2 linked regions of the Xenopus tropicalis genome follow. The protein of the gene in region 2 purifies or fractionates together with the protein of the main gene of each other region. This does not show direct contact. Links are inferred from orthologs where the notes say so. Each region holds a gene or a part of one and is shown on either strand. Other genes may lie near its edges.

Region 1 (4,506 bases), on a different chromosome or scaffold from region 2:
CGGTTCTGTAGGACCCCACACAATCTCATGCAGTTGGTCACATGATCACATAAAATCTGACCCACATAATCTGATGAAATGTTTAGCCCTAAGTCATCAGGGCAGGCAGGGCAAAAAGCTGAGCTCTGATTGGCTCACGGCTGCCTACACACCTCCCCTGAGCACCAACCACACTAGAGAGCAGTTCCCAGCACGGCGGCGGCTGCATTTTGGTTCTGATCCCATTCTGTCATTTAGATCTCGTTAGGGATCACCGGGATGTACTAACAGTATTGGGTCTGGGCCGTGTCTGCTAAATGCTGCGCTCTATAGGCCGGGGGGATTTATAGCAGCACCTGCCTCCTATTGGTGGAAAGTACATGTTTTATTGTACTGATTATTATTATCAATGAGTGATATTAATAGGGAATGGTGCATGATGGGATTTCTCTGATAATAAAGGTCAGTGGGAAAGTAAATGCACCGAGGAGTAAAGGAAAATAACACCCAGGAAGGGCAAAGTCCCCTGAGCGCAATGGTTTATTCCTGTGGGTAATTACCCGCCCTAAATACCCAGTGGCACTTACTCACTGAACTACAGGTATTGGCCGGAGGGACTAAAAGTGACCAAATAGCACTGTGGGCCCCAGGGTGGGGGGAGGGTTGAAAGACTCACCCTTTGCCCCATCCCGTTAGGGGCTGTCAGGCCAGAAGAACTGATTGGCTGAGGACTCGCTCTGGCTCTGGGGGGCCCCAGAAATAACATGGCACCTTTTGGTATTGGAAGGGGGCCTCCTATGATGGGGCCACAGTCAAGGTCACTGAGCTCCTCCCTTTGCTGCCGGAGACCATGTGACCCTGTGCCTAATTACTGAAGGAGCCAATAGCAGCACAGGTACTCTGGGTTACATACCGGGCCCAGCGGCTACTTACAGTATCAGGGAGAACTTCCTTTCTGGCCCATTGAGCTCTAAGAGACGAACCTTCCCACATGGGGCCCCCCCAATAGCCCCTTCTGCCCCTGGTTACCATGGTTTCATTCAGTTTTACCCCCTTCCCCAGGATCAGAGTACATAGGGACTGGGGGCTGGGGCAATGGGACAGCAACATGAGATGGAACTGGGGCCCCTAGGGGCCAATACTGGGCACTGACAGAGGCTACACAGAACCTGGGGGGGGCCCTATGCACTGACAGCAACATGAGAGGGAACTGGGGCCCCTAGGGGCCAATACTGGGCACTGACAGAGGCTACACAGAACCTGGGGGGGGCCCTATGCACTGACAGCAACATGAGAGGGAACTGGGGCCCCTGGGGGCCAATACTGGGCACTGACAGAGGCTACACAGAACCTGGGGGGGGGGCCCTATGCACTGACAGCAACATGAGAGGGAACTGGGGCCCCTAGGGGCCAATACTGGGCACTGACAGAGGCTACACAGAACCTGGGGGGGGGGCCCTATGCACTGACAGCAACATGAGAGGGAACTGGGGCCCCTAGGGGCCAATACTGGGCACTGACAGAGGCCACACAGAACCTGGGGGGGGGGCCCTATGCACTGACAGCAACATGAGAGGGAACTGGGGCCCCTAGGGGCCAATACTGGGCACTGACAGAGGCTACACAGAACCTGGGGGGGGCCCTATGCACTGACAGCAACATGAGAGGGAACTGGGGCCCCTGGGGGCCAATACTGGGCACTGACAGAGGCTACACAGAACCTGGGGGGGGGCCCTATGCACTGACAGCAACATGAGATGGAACTGGGGCCCCTGGGGCCAATACTGGGCACTGACAGAGGCTACACAGAACCTGGGGGGGGGGCCCTATGCACTGACAGCAACATGAGATGGAACTGGGGCCCCTGGGGGCCAATACTGGGCACTGACAGAGGCTACACAGAACCTGGGGGGGGCCCTATGCACTGACAGCAACATGAGAGGGAACTGGGGCCCCTAGGGGCCAATACTGGGCACTGACAGAGGCTACACAGAACCTGGGGGGGGCCCTATGCACTGACAGCAACATGAGAGGGAACTGGGGCCCCTGGGGGCCAATACTGGGCACTGACAGAGGCTACACAGAACCTGGGGGGGGGGCCCTATGCACTGACAGCAACATGAGAGGGAACTGGGGCCCCTAGGGGCCAATACTGGGCACTGACAGAGGCTACACAGAACCTGGGGGGGCCCTATGCACTGACAGCAACATGAGAGGGAACTGGGGCCCCTGGGGGCCAATACTGGGCACTGACAGAGGCTACACAGAACCTGGGGGGGGGGCCCTATGCACTGACAGCAACATGAGAGGGAACTGGGGCCCCTAGGGGCCAATACTGGGCACTGACAGAGGCTACACAGAACCTGGGGGGGGCCCTATGCACTGACAGCAACATGAGAGGGAACTGGGGCCCCTGGGGGCCAATACTGGGCACTGACAGAGGCTACACAGAACCTGGGGGGGGGGCCCTATGCACTGACAGCAACATGAGAGGGAACTGGGGCCCCTAGGGGCCAATACTGGGCACTGACAGAGGCTACACAGAACCTGGGGGGGCCCTATGCACTGACAGCAACATGAGAGGGAACTGGGGCCCCTAGGGGCCAATACTGGGCACTGACAGAGGCTACACAGAACCTGGGGGGGGGGCCCTATGCACTGACAGCAACATGAGAGGGAACTGGGGCCCCTGGGGGCCAATACTGGGCACTGACAGAGGCTACACAGAACCTGGGGGGGGGGCCCTATGCACTGACAGCAACATGAGAGGGAACTGGGGCCCCTAGGGGCCAATACTGGGCACTGACAGAGGCTACACAGAACCTGGGGGGGGCCCTATGCACTGACAGCAACATGAGAGGGAACTGGGGCCCCTAGGGGCCAATACTGGGCAGAGGCATAAGCTGCAGTTGAATGGACAGACATGACACCGGGACAGACAGCCCCACGGTCACTGCTCCCACTCCCGACCCGGCTCTGACCTGCAGGACTCCCGGTAACCGGAACACCGGCCCGCTACGTCTCAAGGAGAACACGACCGCCGCCATATTTCCTCTGACACCAGTAACTCCGCCAGCCTCCCACAATGCAGCGCGGCGGGGCTATAACCATAGAGAGGCGTTACTTTCCCGCTCAGAGAGAGGGAGCTCGGGGCTAGAGCGTCCGTTTTCCTTTTCTCTCAGCTCTATGGGGGGATGGGGCGCTCTAGCCCGGATCCGCGATCTCTATGGTTTACTCACAAATAAAAGTGGGCGGTGTTTCATGGTCATGTGATGTTGAGTAACTGGTTGTGTAATTCCCTCTCGCTAGTCGCTATAGCAACGTCTCATCGATTTAGTGCGCAATATTACTATAAATGCCCCTGGGGTAATTGTTGTACCAATAAGGCCATGGTGGGTGAGGGGAAGAGACCTTTTAAAGGGTAAGTAAAGCCTCAGCAAAAGCAATAAAGGACAAGTGGGAGGAGCCAAACTGTCCCTGTGGGCGGGGCACTAACAGCATGCATAGAGTGGCCCTGCCCCCCAAATTCACTGGCTGAGCTGCAGATATAAAAGGTCGCCCCCTGTTATTAGCTATTATTGGGGGAAGGACAGACAGGGGCATCTATTGGATAAGGGCAGCGCCTCAGTCAGGAAATGGTTAAAGGTTATTGCCCCTCTGAGTCTCCGACTCCTGTCTCTGCCGCAGCGTGAGGGGCAACTCTGCCCATGTCCAGCAGATGGCAGCAAAGTGTAAGGAAATTAAAGGAGATATAAAACCTAATGAAAGTATAAATCTGAGCAACTCCCCAATATCCATTCATCCCTCATTCTCTGTGTCTGTCCCTTTCCCTTCCCTGCACTGCTGGTTCTGACTCCTGATACAACTCCCCAATACCCATTCATTCCTCATTCTCACTGGGTTTATAGTTATGTGTAACTGTCACTGTGTCTGTCCCTTTCCCTTCCCTGCACTGCTGGTTCTGACTCCTGATACAACTCCCCAATACCCATTCATCCCTCATTCTCACTGGGTTTATAGTTATGTGTAACTGTCATGGTTCCTGCCTGACCATGGGAAAGAGAGCAGCCCAGGAGCAGGAAGTACAGAGAATCAGAGCTCTGTACCTGGGTAAGTACTGGGGGGAGATTGGATTCACTTACCCAGGGGGGAGGTTCCTGCCTGACCATGGGAAAGAGAGCAGCCCAGGAGCAGGAAGTACAGAGAATCAGAGCTCTGTACCTGGGTAAGTACTGGGGGGAGATTGGATTCACTTACCCAGGGGGAGGTTCCTGCCTGACCATGGGAAAGAGAGCAGCCCAGGAGCAGGAAGTACAGAGAATCAGAGCTCTGTACCTGGGTAAGTACTGGGGGGAGATTGGATTCACTTACCCAGGGGGAGGTTCCTGCCTGACCATGGGAAAGAGAGCAGCCCAGGAGCAGGAAGTACAGAGAATCAGAGCTCTGTACCTGGGTAAGTACTGGGGGGAGATTGGATTCACTTACCCAGGGGGGGTTCCTGCCTGACCATGGGAAAGAGAGCAGCCC
Region 2 (2,479 bases):
GTAGAAATCCTATTGTTTCTACCTCCTTATCTGCCCTGAACGGTTAATGGCCGATTGGTCGCACAAAAGATCGGAAATCACCACGTGTGTGGCCACCTTTACACTGAGCTTTACTCCATTTTGAAAATGTTGGGAAAAAATGTTGTTTAAACGACAAATTCACAAAAGTGTCTGTAAACTGTCTTTCTTTCACCAAAAACGGAAAAGTGGCGGTTGAGTCGGAATTTATGCGGATTTCTGTTTGTGAATCTGAAAAAAAAGTGTTTTCCACCAGTTTTTTCACCACTTTTACTACAAAAAAGGTCTCTCTCCACTTTTGTGAATTCCCCCCATGTCTCTTTACTCCAATTTACTGCTAAGTTGCCACAAGGTTCAGATCTTAGTGCTCCAGCCTTTTACTTTGAGAAAGGTGGCAGTAGTGTATTTAATTGCTCATTATCAGCTCTATTCTGACATGCCCAGCTTTGCTAGCCTTAACTATTCCTCTACAATACACATGAAAAGCCATCACTAATATGCAGTTTATGGAGGCGGTCATGTTTATAAAGCACTATGAGGTTGGTACATTTGCAAACATCCTACCAAAGGAATACAGAGGCCAAGTAAGAGCAAACAACTTGTTATAAATAGTATAAATAATTTATATACAAAGAGTAGTTACATTTGTACCAATATCAAATCTTTTTTATAAGAAAACATATTAATTGTTCTGATTGGTTGGGGATCTGATGAAGGCTCCCAGTTGCTTTGTATTTGCATCCTGTAGTTGCTGCAGTTGCCGTTGCCCCCGCCGCAGAAGGTACTCTATGTGCATAACATCAGTCTTTGGAATTTTTGCATTTCTTCTGAATTCATCTCTGATTCTGGGTACAAACCCAGGTTTCTCTTTGCCGGCTTGTAAAAACTGTCTGTAAAGACTCAGAATCTGCTTTTGTAGTTTGCTGTGTCTAACCATTGTGCCTCCTCACATCTATGTTAGCTTAAAAGTTCAAGTTTAAAGACATTAGTATAATTTTCTACTGTAAAAATATTTCCCTTGCAAGCGACTGATTCATATATGAGGGAAGCGCTGTGTTGCCTTGAGCAGATGATTTGTTTCCTTCTTCAGGCATCTTGGTCCAGGGAACCTCTACAAAACAAGATGGAATTCATGATTTATATACCACAGCAATGAGTAAGTACAGGACACATTATAAAGGCCAATAAACCTCTCCACGTTATCTGTGCAAAGGGTTAATTAGTATAACTCTTGCAACTACAGCCTCCTACCCACTGTGTCATCCAGCCACACATTGGCTGGATGAGGATTGGCCAGGTCTGATTTTCCGTTTGGATCAAGGTATTGACAGGTACACAGTGCACTGATGTGGTCCATAATCCAATTGCCTGCATAGCGGCAAATATGATATGTGGGCATATTGGGAAAAAGATCATCCTATATAGAGACAACCTTCTGCCCTGGCCATTGCATCCCTAACCAGGGTTGCCAGGTTGGCAGTTTTTCCACCAAATTAGGCTACTAATTTAAAGCCCTGGTACAACCCCACCAAGGTACAGTTTTGGAGCCTTGGCACATTTGTACTTTGGAAACTAGCCAAAGTTTTTTCCCCTAGTATGCTTGTTCCACTGCATGCCGGGTAATGTAGTTTGTATCTAACAATTAGCCTACAGCTAGGATTAATATATATCTACAATACCCAGAATGCAATTGGACAGTATAGACAGAGGCTCCGTTTTGTATTCCTTTGTGCTCTTTCAGGCTCAACCTGTATGTTCTACACCCTGATCTTTAGGGTATGTGGTTGTTACCGTTACTTTCTACTGGGATGTGGGGCAGTTCTACCCCCTGCTCCCTGCTCTATAGGGTATGTGATTGTACTGTTACTTTCTACTGGGATGTGGGGCAGTTCTACCCCCTGCTCTATAGGGTATGTGATTGTACTGTTACTTTCTACTGGGATGTGGGGCAGTTTTACCCCCTGCTCCCTGCTCTATAGGGTATGTGATTGTACTGTTACTTTCTACTGGGATGTGGGGCAGTTCTACCCCCTGCTCCCTGCTCTATAGGGTATGTGATTGTACTGTTACTTTCTACTGGGATGTGGGGCAGTTCTACCCCCTGCTCTATAGGGTATGTGATTGTACTGTTACTTTCTACTGGGATGTGGGGCAGTTCTACCCCCTGCTTCCTGCTCTATAGGGTATGTGATTGTACTGTTACTTTCTACTGGGATTTGGGGCAGTTCTACCCCCTGCTCCCTGCTCTATAGGGTATGTGATTGTACTGTTACTTTCTACTGGGATGTGGGGCAGTTCTACCCCCTGCTCCCTGCTCTATAGGGTATGTGATTGTACTGTTACTTTCTACTGGGATGTGGGGCAGTTCTACCCCCAGCTCTATAGGGTATGTGATTGTACTGTTACTTTCTACTGGGATGTGGGGGCAGTTCTACACCCTGCTCTATAGGGTATGTGATTG

The links.
Region 1: the proteins of sdhaf1 (region 2) and sdhb purify together in Homo sapiens (co-immunoprecipitation; 3 studies listed by BioGRID and IntAct, with this or other methods). This does not show direct contact. The link is inferred for Xenopus tropicalis from reciprocal best matches to the Homo sapiens genes SDHAF1 and SDHB.

Annotation. Positions count from the first base shown.
Region 1 is NC_030683.2:131,925,440-131,929,945, forward strand, and holds the start of sdhb (succinate dehydrogenase [ubiquinone] iron-sulfur subunit, mitochondrial precursor), read right to left. Parts: upstream 3,108-4,506; 5' UTR 3,028-3,107; exon of another isoform or gene 3,027-3,027; coding exon 2,961-3,026; intron 1-2,960. UniProt on the Homo sapiens protein: Iron-sulfur protein (IP) subunit of the succinate dehydrogenase complex (mitochondrial respiratory chain complex II), responsible for transferring electrons from succinate to ubiquinone (coenzyme Q).
Region 2 is NC_030684.2:131,183,535-131,186,013, reverse strand, and holds sdhaf1 (succinate dehydrogenase assembly factor 1, mitochondrial), read right to left. Parts: upstream 1,044-2,479; 5' UTR 956-1,043; coding exon 701-955; 3' UTR 604-700; downstream 1-603.